Linked DNA regions of Elephas maximus indicus. The protein of the gene in region 1 purifies or fractionates together with the protein of each later gene. This does not show direct contact. Links are inferred from orthologs where the notes say so. Each region holds a gene or a part of one and is shown in the gene's direction. Other genes may lie near its edges. The genes, in order: COPS5, KLHL15 and COPS7A.

What was found.
Region 2: the proteins of COPS5 (region 1) and KLHL15 purify together in Homo sapiens (affinity purification with mass spectrometry; 3 studies listed by BioGRID and IntAct, with this or other methods). This does not show direct contact. The link is inferred for Elephas maximus indicus from reciprocal best matches to the Homo sapiens genes COPS5 and KLHL15.
Region 3: the proteins of COPS5 (region 1) and COPS7A purify together in Homo sapiens (affinity purification with mass spectrometry; 19 studies listed by BioGRID and IntAct, counting the BioPlex papers as one, with this or other methods). This does not show direct contact. The link is inferred for Elephas maximus indicus from reciprocal best matches to the Homo sapiens genes COPS5 and COPS7A.

What each region holds. Positions count from the first base shown.
Region 1 is NC_064833.1:75,497,599-75,501,349, forward strand, and holds the start of COPS5 (COP9 signalosome complex subunit 5), read left to right. Parts: upstream 1-1,174; 5' UTR 1,175-1,456; coding exon 1,457-1,599; intron 1,600-3,751. UniProt on the Homo sapiens protein: Probable protease subunit of the COP9 signalosome complex (CSN), a complex involved in various cellular and developmental processes.
Region 2 is NC_064846.1:155,090,072-155,093,822, forward strand, and holds the start of KLHL15 (kelch-like protein 15), read left to right. Parts: upstream 1-803; 5' UTR 804-1,040; intron 1,041-3,751. Other genes in the region: EIF2S3 (eukaryotic translation initiation factor 2 subunit 3), read right to left, coding at 14-77, 648-716. UniProt on the Homo sapiens protein: Substrate-specific adapter for CUL3 E3 ubiquitin-protein ligase complex.
Region 3 is NC_064822.1:63,482,577-63,486,327, forward strand, and holds the start of COPS7A (COP9 signalosome complex subunit 7a), read left to right. Parts: upstream 1-1,490; 5' UTR 1,491-1,629; exon of another isoform or gene 1,630-1,712; intron 1,713-2,076; 5' UTR 2,077-2,119; coding exon 2,120-2,281; intron 2,282-3,751.

The sequences.
Region 1 (3,751 bases):
AAATGTCAGGGAAGAGAATTTCAAGCGGTGGTGATCGCATGTGCAAACCCAAAATAAATGCATTGGTATTTTAAGAACGAGAAGTTTTTGGGGGGGAGACTAAAGAGAGATGAAGCTAAAGAGGAGCAGAGGAACCAGGTGAACAGCTTTAACAATATTTTTTTTTTAAACAAAAATTTACTGAACATCTAATATGCTAGGAAGGAGCCAAGATGACACAGTGGTTGAAGACTCAACTGCTAACCAAAAAGGTCATCACTTTGAACCCACCGGCCGCTCTGCAGAAGAAAAGGTATGGCGATCCGCTCCCACAAAGATTACAGTCCAGGAAACCCTATGGGACGATTCTATTCTGTCATACAGGGTCGCTAGAGTTGGAATCCACTCCAAGACACAAAACAGTATGTTAGGTGTTAGAGATAAAACAAGGAATAAGACAGACCCGGTCCCCCGTTTTGGAACTTAGAATCGGGGTTGGGGTGGAGGGTGGGGTTGACCTAAAACGAGTAAACTAATAAACGGAATAATTAGACCTGGTTTTTTTTTTTTTTATTATTAACTGTTGGAAGAAAACAGGTTGCTAAAATTTTATTCGGACTCAGGGTCAGAAGAGGTTTCACAGAATGGTATTGAAGATATAACTGTATCTATTATAAAAACAGTATTGGACATTTTCAGGACAGTAACTAGCTCATAATACATTGAATACAGATGCTAATTTTTACAAACAAGCCAAGAGGGACAACCACTGAAGTCCACATGGTTCCATACCTACTCCCAACACTAGAGGACGTGCATCTGAAAACGGTGCGCCAAGCCGCCCACTTCATTTTACGCATGTGCAGTTAGTCATCTTGAAGTAAAACAGGATGACTTTATCTTCCTTTCAACCAGCATCCGGAACTAGGTACATCTCAGCCTTCCACAGACATCCTTATTTTTTAGTTATTCAGGGAACCTATCTTATTTAAGATAACCTACAACCTCACAAAGACACTTTTTCCCCCTATTATGGCTGAGGCCCTACCCATTTTTAATATGGCGGAGATCGAGCCTGCGCAGTACCAACAAAGAAGGCTAATTCCAAGTGCTGGCATAACGCGTGCATGACCTTCTTCCGGTGTGGAAGGCTGTACCATTCCCAAGCCCGATTATTGTGTTTGTTCTAACTCACACCTCTAATTTCGAGTGGATATGTTCTCATTTCAGCCACAAGGATATTTCTCTTTCCCTATTATTGTAACTGCTGTTTATACCGTCGCTTCCCCGAAGGGCCCCCGCCATCCCCGAATGGTCTGTACCACCTTCACCTCCGGTTCTAGGTGTCATGGCAGCCTCGAGAGTCTTGTAAGAGTGTAAGACCGGTGAGGGGGGAGGGTTGGAAGCCCTCGCCCCGAGACCTAGTGGGGTAAAGTTGCGTCTTGGTTGTGGAGGCAACAACTCCGACTCCTTGGCCATGGCGGCGTCTGGGAGTGGTATGGCCCAGAAAACCTGGGAATTGGCCAACAACATGCAAGAAGCTCAGAGTATCGATGAAATCTACAAATACGACAAGAAACAGCAGCAGGAAATCCTGGCGGCGAAGCCCTGGACTAAGGAGTGAGGAAGTCCCTGGCGAGACGCTGGGAAGGGAAGGGGCGGCGGGGATTTAAGAGGAGGCCCAGGGGGAGTGGGAGTTGAAGGGGGTGGAGAGCTTTGCCTTGTGTTTTCATGGTCTGGGAGGGGAGGGACTGTGCACCTGAGAGATTTCGGTTTACCTTTATCTCTGCTGCTAGAGCCTAAGTTCCTCCGCTGAGGCCTGCCGCGACTCCCCCTTCTGTCTCTTTGACCCATTTACCTCCGGGGGATGGAGGTGGGGAATGAGAAGCGGTGATTTGGGCTGACACGTCTCAGCATCCATATTATCATATATGCCACACACTCTGCCATGAAACCTGTGTGGACATTTACCAAGGTGGGGCCTTCGGCTGATGCCAGCTGGTGACTGGAGCCGTCTCTAAAATAGCTATGAGCTGTCTTTTAGAGAGGTGTAATAGTTTTTGTTTGCTGGTAGTAATGTCAGAGGCACCCAATCTCCCCAAATATTACTCCAGGCACCACTTACCATAAACCAGAAATTATATCAATAAGAGCTTAAGCCACTTTGCCTCTTACAAAGTAGATGTATCCCTGGGAATAAAGACAAGTCGAGTGTTCATCACATCATAGCATTTATACTTTCCTGAGGGAAGATTTTGATAGACAGTAAAAAGAACACAGAAAGTTACTATCTAGGCAGCGGTTGAATTCTCACCTTCCACACAGGAGACCTGTGTCGATTCGCACCAATGCACCTCAAGCAAAGCCACCACCCATCTGTCAGGGAAGGCTTGCATATTGGTATGATGCTCAGTAGGTTTCAGTGGAGCTTCCAGACTAAGATGGACTAGAAAGAAAGGCCTGGCAGATCTACTACTGAAAAACCAACCACTAGAAACCCCTATGGATCACAATGGTCAGATCCCATTGTGCATGATGTGACTGAGTCTGGGCCTACTCCATAGCAGCTAACAATGGACAGATAAGAAGGAGAGCTGTGGTCACCCACAGAAACTATATTTCCATCAGTGACTCCATGGCACTGGGTTTTTTTCCCCAGTTTTGTACAAGGCTGGCTTTAATTGACAGTATCTAGATTCAGCAGTGTTTACTGAGTACCTAATAAGAGCCGAGCACTGAGCTAGGTAGGAATTTCCATATGTCATTTAATCTTCCTGACAACCTAGTGCTATATATTCTTTTTTTGTAAATAAGAATACAAGTAAATATATTCAGTAACTTACCTCACAATGACACTGAGCAGTGAACACAACTCAAGGTCACATCTCAGAGTTGGCAGTGACTAGTTGATTGACCTTGGGAAAATTACTTATTCTCTTTGAGTCTTCAATTTTTTTCTATAAAACAGAGATAAGACTTACCTCTTGTTGGTTTAATAAAGATTATATCATGTAATGTATAAAAAGGGTCTAGAATGTATGTAACAGGAGCACATTAACTGTGCCTTCTTTTTTTTTCCCCCCAGTAAACAGAGGAGCCAAGATTTTAATTCATGTCTCTGATTCCTAAGACTAGGTCTCCATATTTTTCAGCTTGTGATTGAAATCTGGCAAAGTTTGAGAATTAAACTTGAATATTTTCTGTGGGAGGTCATCTAAAAAGCCTTCTCAGAGACTTTGACTGCTCTATTCAGACTTCTTACGTTGCCTGTTGTCTGCTTACTTCTGTAGCAGGCTGTGCATTTAAGGTTGATGTAGTCCATTTGGAAACTGTATTGGTTTGCCTCACTGATTATATTTCTAATTAAATTCAGCCTAACATCTTGGGATTCATCAATGAGACCAGAAATGTAATTTTATTCAAGAGTTGTTTAGCTCCATCCACAGATGACAAATTCTAGAATAACGATCATAAGGAAACTAGGAATATTAGGGCTACATTTTTAATTTTGAGGCTTATAGCACAGAGGGAAACATACCTTTCAATACAGTGTTCTTTGGTAGTGCCATAAAAAAAAAAAAATACATTGCCATCGAGCCAGTTTGGACTCATAGCAACCCTATAGGACGGAGTAGAACTGCCCCATAGGGTTTCCAAGGAGCAGCTGGTGGATTCAAACTGCCGACCTCTTGGTTAGCAGCCGAGCTCTTAGCCACTGTACCACCAGGGCTCCTGGTAGTGCCACAGAGAGGTTGATAATTCTAATAAGAGT
Region 2 (3,751 bases), on another chromosome or scaffold:
AAGTTATTCTTACCTATGTTAATTGTGGCTTGTCTGCTGATGACTTCGTGTGAAAGGGGTGTCAACTTGGCAACATCCTGCAACGAAACATTTTATTATAAACCACTGCACAGAAGACAAAACAGGGTTTTCCATCTGACTTTACGTTTGCTACCTATAGCTCATCACCATCTGTACAGCTCTCTATTACTTCTGAAGCGCTTTTCCCATACAAGCAATCTTGTGCTCTGATGACTGGAAAGCCCGAAGCACCCCTAATCGTTACACAACAAAAGACTACGCCTGCACTCTATGAGAAATCAGGAGGCCCGAGGCCCCCAACTTTGGAAGCTTTAGCACTGAGGGCCGTGGAGATGCTCCCTTCCCAAGCCTTCAGAGTTTGGTCAAAGCCTTAATGACACTCCGTGACGTTCCATCCGAATCCTTCAGGAGCTCGCGGTCCCACGAGCGCGCACACCCACAGCCAGCTCGCAGACCGGTCGAAGTGCAAGCGGTGGCGCGAGCGCGACGCAGGCCGCTCGGATCCGGGGCTCCCTCCTAACTCAGGCTCCCGACGGCCCGGCACTGCCTCGCCCCAACGCCTCCCGGGAGGCATGACCATCCCCACTCCCACGCTCACTCCGCGTCCTCCCAAAGCGAAACCTCACCAAGGTGGCGAGATCCTGGCTAGAAAGATGTGACTGCCCCAGAGTCACTCCCGCCTCGCCCCCCGCCATCTTGCCCAGAGAGGAAGGAAGTCGGCCAGGCTGTCGGCTGACAACACGCAAGCCCTCTGGTGAGGGGCGGGGAAGTCGAGGCGGGAAGACAGACCAGGGCCCAAGCCTAGCGAAGGCGGATGACCCATGCAGCAGGGACCTCACTGCTTGGACTTCTCTCCGCTTAGGCTCATTCAGTGCTAGTCGGCTTACTAAGAAACACAATGCAAAGTGTCGGGATCTACTAATCGCAGAACTGTTGGCTATTTGGGCAGGCAACATTTAAGGCAGCTCCAGAAAAGGTCCTTTGGCCTGGAGGGGAACGTAACACGACGCTCCGCGCTGGTAAGGGAGAAGCTATTTCCGTTTCCGGGAGCGTTGCCCGAACCGGTTTGCCGAAACTTGAGAATTTTATCTGGGGTGTGAAACTAGAATATAGAGAGACTGTCGTTATTTACCGATTCCTGGGTACAATTTAATAAGGCGAAGTCGGCTCGGGATCCGCGCTGCCTGCAACGGTGCTCGTGGCTGGGAGGAGGCCGCGTGCTGAGCGGGCTACGCTCAAGGCGCCGCGCGTCGCCTGTCAGGCTTCGGGGAGGGCGCCCTCGCGTGGAGGTTAGGGGAAGGGCTCAGGGGCGCCCGGATAGGAAAAGCAAAGTTCCTAAGTTGTTCCCAGACGGAGGTCTCTAGGGCCTTGAGAGGTGGTCCGTGGTGGCACTAGAGTGCACTCCGAAAGGATTTTGCTTCGGGGAGAAGCTAGGTGTCATAAGAGCGCCCAAAGTAAGTTTTTAAAAAAGCAGGTCCAAGAAAACCCACTTCTTTAATGGGAAGATTACCAATCGTCATTTTAAAATTTAAACAATTTTGAGACTCAAACCTTTTTTCATCGCGTGTTAAAAAGAAGTTGGGTGTTTTTTGTTTTACTCCATACATTTTTATGCTTTGCAGTTTTTCTGTTGTAAACAGGTATTCATTATTAACTGGAAAAAAGATATAAGGAGAGGTACATAAAAATTTAGGTTATATGTACCCATTGAGTACTTAAGATTAAAATGAATATGTGTTTTATATAATAAATTTTAGGTACAACGGTTTACCTAAATAGATAGCTGTGTTTCAATGAGTGCATTCACTGGCTAAGTGATGGTGGAAACTATGCTATATTGTACTTGGATGGTGATGTTTAATTCTTATTTATCTTAGCTTCTAAATAGTTATACCAGCCAATTAAGAAAACCCGTTGAGGTGGTGAAAGAGTTCCAGAATTAGATAGTGATGGTTGCACAACTTTGTGACTGTAATAAAAACCACTGAATTCTATACTTTAAAAGGGTGAATGTTATAGTATGGAAACTACATCTCAATAAAATAAAACTCATTGATAATACCTAGAAAATAACTAAATATTATGCTTCATTGTCAGAAATTTTTATTGGAAGTAAAAAGGCACAGGAAGCAATAATTAATTTCAAATTAATGAAAATAGTGGTTAAAATTATTGGCACCTAAAATTGTTGACACCTACTTACCAAATATTGGTTTAATCCTCACAACAATCCAGTGAAGTTGTTAGGTGTCATCAAGTTGATTCCGACTCACAGTGACCCTGTGTACAACAGAATGAAACACTGCCAGGTCCTGCATTATCCTCACAGTCTGTGCTATGTCTGAGCCTGTTGTTGCAGCCACTGTGTCAATCTATCTCCTTGAGGGTCTTTTGCTTTTTTGCTGACCTTCTACCAAGCATGATGTCCTTCTCCAGGCAGGCACTGGTCCCTCCTGATAACATGTCCAAAGTACATGAGACGAAGTCTCACCATCTTGCTTCTAAGGAGCATTCTGGCTGTACTTCTTCCAAGACAGATTTGTTCATTCTTTACTGCAGTCCATGGTATATTCAATATTCTTCGCCAACACCATAATTCAAAGGCATCAATTTTTCAGTCATCCTTATTCACTGTCTGTCTTTCACATACATATGAGGCAATTGAAAACACTATGGCTTGGGTCAGGCATGCTTCAGTCCTCAAAATGACATCTTTGCTTTTTAACACTTGAAGTAGGTTGTTTGCAGCAGATTGGCCCAATGCGCGTGTTGTTTGATTTTTTGGCTGCTGCTTCCATGGGCGTTGATTGTAGATCCAAGTAAAATGAAATCCTTGGCAACTTCAATCTTTTCTCTGTTTATCATGATGTTGCTTATTGGTCAGTTGTGTGGATTTTTGTTTTCTTTATAATGAGGTAGATACTATTATTCTCATTTTACAGAGGAGGAAACTGAGTCCCAAAAGGCTTAGGTAACATATCCAAGTTTCCACAGCTAGCAGCAGAGCTGAAATTCATAGCCAAGTCTGAGTATACTTTTTTTATATACTGTTTTTTTAATTGGCTTTATTGAGGTAAAATTTACGTACCATAAAATTCACCTGTGTTAGGTATACAAGTCAAAGATTTTTAGTAAATTCACAGAGTTGTACAACCATCGCCACAATCCAGGTTTAGAACTTTTCACTCACCACAAAGAGATCTCTGGTGTCCATTTGCAGTCCGTCCCCATTCCAACCTCAGAGACATTCTGTGTATATAGATTCGCTTTTTCATATAAATGGAATCATGTAACATATGGTCTTTTGCCTCTGGCTTCTTTCACCTTGCATATTGGTTTTGAGGTTCATCCATGTTGTAACACATAGTAGTAGTTTGCTCCTTTTTATTGCGGAATACAATTCCATTGTATGGATGTACCACATTTTGTGTATCTGTTCACCAACTGATGGATGTTTCAATTGTTTCTACCTGTTGGCTATTATGAATAATGCTGCTGCGGACATTCGTGTACAAGTTTTTATGTGGACATGTTGTGGTATGGTGAATTACTTAATATGGCCCTTCTAGCCATAGTCTTTGTAACTCCCACCAAATGACTAGGTGGGACTATGCAGATGAGGTGCCTGTGACCCACCAAGGGGATTGGATAGCTTGCTAATAATGTAAATAAGGCACATGTCACCCTTGTGGGGGTGGGACCAATGCAAGTAAGGCATATGGAATCCTAA
Region 3 (3,751 bases), on another chromosome or scaffold:
TTCTCCACATTCACCTCTTGTTCTACTTAGTAACTGTTCCTCATTTTCTTTTCTCCTTGTTCTTGTCTTTCTCTCATAGAGCTGTAAAACATCAGAATCAAAATTAGCCTTAGAGATTCTGTCATATAATCTCTCACTTCGCAGGTACAGAAGAGATCACAAGGTGGCATGATGCTTTGCTTTAAGGCCCCAGCTAGCTTAAGTCTGAATCAGGACTGTATCTCAGGTTGTCCATTTCCTCCTCTCTTCTCTTTTCCTCTCTGCTTTTCTTTCCTCCGTTTCTTAACATAGTCTTAGAATCAGACAGACTCGCATTTGGATCTTAGCTCTACCACTTACTGGTGATCTTTAAGAAATTATTTGTTCCTTAATGATCCAGTGTCCTCACAGGTAAAGTGAGATATTAATAGGCACCTTAAATGCTTTCTGTAAAGACACAGCGTCTTTTTTAAAAAATCGATCCAAAAAACACCTGGTATATAATAGAACAAATGTTGGTTCTTTTCTCCTATAGTTTTAAAGTGATAAGATTGGGCTCATTAAATTCTTTGGTCCCTTCAGACTTTGCATATTTTATTATGCCTTTTATTCCTTCTCGACTTTGTTTCATCTCATCCACTCACTACCACTACTTCTCCTAAAGAAATCTCAGGGTTTTTTTTTTCCCCCTAAAGTATCAAGGTGAAGTGGAAAGACAGCTTTGGATTTGAAAAGACCTGGGTTCCAGGCAAATCCCTGAATTTTTCTGAAGCTCAACTTCCTTATCTGTAAAATGAGAATAACAACATATGCCTCTCTTCCACGTAGGGCCCCCCCCTCCAGGAATTAAGAGTCAACGTATGGAAAGCGTCACTCTCCAAGCACATGTTGTACTCAGGGCAGAGGGGGTCCCGGAGTCTGACTGAGAAGGCAGTAGTTTTAAGAATTCAACAGAATAAAAAATTTAAAAGATGCTCAAACAAAAATAAGCACTCAATACATGTTAGCTATTTTTTTTTTTTTTATTATTTCCTTTCCCTTTTCTACTTCTTTTCCCCTGTTCCTCAAAAAATTAGTGGTTGAACGACCCAGGTGATCTCTGCCGCTCACCTTCTATTATTATTGTCCCCCTTCCTCTTTCATCCTGCCGTTTTTTGTTTTTTCTTCTTTCGTTCTCCCTCTTTCCTTCCACTACAGCTTCCCTCTTGCTCTAGGCACAAGCTGCACCCTGGGTCTCCAGGCCTCCGACAGCTTAGAGCTGACACACAGCCCGACACTCAAAGGGATCGAAGGTTGTCTACCTTTAGCATCCACCGCCCTTTCACCAATAGTTTTATCGAAACAGTGGAAAAAAAAAAAAGGCACAAGTCATTCTTCTCCCTGCAACGAATCAGAGAGTAGGATGCCTGCGTCCCTCACTGGAGCTTCAATGGTCGGAAAGCAGGGCCCAGCATGTCCCGCCCGAAACCTGCCCCTAGGAGCGGAAGTACGGTCGGAAACCGTCCATAGAGTTTAGTAGCTAGAGCGACCCTGGGAGGAGAGGTGGCAGGAAAGGCTCGGAACAGCTGCCGGAGGTGACGGAGCCGCGGCCCCGCCCGGTGCGCTGGAAGACGAAGCTTCCAGGTAGCGGCCCACAGACTCTGACCGAGGGTAGGACGGGCAGTCGTCCGGACCCTACGATTCCAGGGAGGCCTCTTTAAGGAGGGGCGGAGCCACGCGTAAGGGGCGTGGGGGTAAGGTCACGTGGTTGGGGGCACAAGGGGCGAATCGAGGGATCTTCGTTGGTGGGGTGGACACCATGTGACACTCCTTTCCCCTTTGCACCTGTGCCTTGGGGTTCAATGGGATGCACGTGGTGAGGCTTGGGGTTAGCGCCCAGGGGTCGGGGGAGAAGGTAGGTGTGGCATTCCTGTCTCATTCGTGTTCCCATCGAAACGACCAGCTTTAGGATTCCTAGATCCCCGTTCTAACCACTCTATCTCTTGAGTCCTCATTGTAGAAGCGACTCAGTGCCTCTGCAGTTCAGCCCTACCCCCATGATCTTCCCATCCTGCCAGCGTTCAGAGACCTCCAGCTTCACAACGTCTTTCCTTGCAGCTCCAGACATCCTGAGCCCAGCTGCCTCCAACTCAGTGCAGCCATGAGTGGGGAGGTGAAGGTGACAGGGCAGAACCAGGAGCAGTTTCTGCTTCTGGCCAAGTCGGCCAAGGGGGCAGCACTGGCCACACTCATCCACCAGGTGCTGGAGGCCCCTGGTGTCTATGTCTTTGGGGAACTGCTGGATATGCCCAACGTTAGAGAGGTGGGTTCCTGGCCTGGATAGCTCTTAGTGAAGCTTGGGGCTAAAGTTTGAATTTGAGAATGGGTGGGTAATGCTCATTTTGCAGCTATGTAACCATTCAGTTGAATACGAATATGATGATGATGGCAGCTTGCAAAAGTAAGCAAGCAGGTAAACTTCTAAGCTTCCCTTGTGAGATGAAGGATTTGTAAAATCCAGTATTTTTGACTTTTAAGCAAAAGAGCACGTGACTCATAACAGGAGACCTGAGTTCCAGCCTGTCTCCACCAATGTAGTATCTCTTAGTAAACATATCGCTTTGATCAGGTCACTTTTATTTTCTTTCTTGAAAATGGAGATGATATTGATGATATTGCCTTCCTTACCGTTAATGTGGGAATCAAGTGAGATTATGGGAAAGCATAAAGCCTGGTACAGATGGGAGGAGTGAACATACTAAATTAGTATGCCCTGTTCTCCCTCCTTTGCACCATGTGCTGTTCATTTGAGGTAGGTAACGTAGAAGGTGTCTTTTCTCCCAAAGATATCGCAAGTTGCTACTAATACAGTGGGAAAGTTAAGAGTTTAAAAAGAGTGAGTGTTGCCAAGATACATGACACTGTTCAAGTCCTAAGATGCTATGACAGTGGACCAACTGAAGCAAGTTTTTGAAGGCCTGTGATTGAGTCAATGGATTTAGCCTTTTAGGATCACTCTGTGGTACAGAGAAAACTCTTACCTTCTTTCCCTGCTTTCCTCTGCAGTGGAAGAAGTATTTATTGAGTGCCTGTTTAACACTCTGCTAGTCATCTGGGAACACCAGAAAAGTACAAAACATAGTGCTTACCCTTCTGAAGCTTACATTCCAGGTGAAGAGATAGGATGAATGGATATAAGTCTCTAAGCCACTCATTTAGCAAGTATTTATTGAAAGATGCAACTACATGCATAGCTCCGCTAGATCCTGAGCGGAATACCAGAGATTGGGCCTATAATCTTGTTGACAAGAAAGGTATTGCTAGGTAACAAGCTTAGGTGGAGGTTGATTGATGAAGTACCAGTGGTAGGAGGAGAGGACATCTGAGTGGGCTGGACTGGGTGATGTAAGCCTCCCAGGTGAGGTGGGTCTGAAGCAGAGGCCACAAATTCACATGCCTGCCTCAGCCATGTAGCTGTCAGGATGAGTGAGGCTCAGGCAGGAATCTTGATTAGAAATATGAAGCATACTCAGAGGGCCAGACAACACAATTTGCAATGTCTGCTGTGTGTCCTTCAGGTAGTGGGCACTCAATATTTTTAGCCATGAATTTAGGGTAGGAATTGAATAGCAGATGGAGGAAGAGGGCGTTGTGGATTGGGGAAATAGCAAAAAGGCCTGGGGGTGGAAACAAGCCCTTCCTAAGGGGAATGTGTTCAGAGAGACAGAGAGTTCCTTTTGGTGAATGAGAGAGCTAGCATTAGAGCAGGAAGAGAGGACTAGAAAACGGAGTT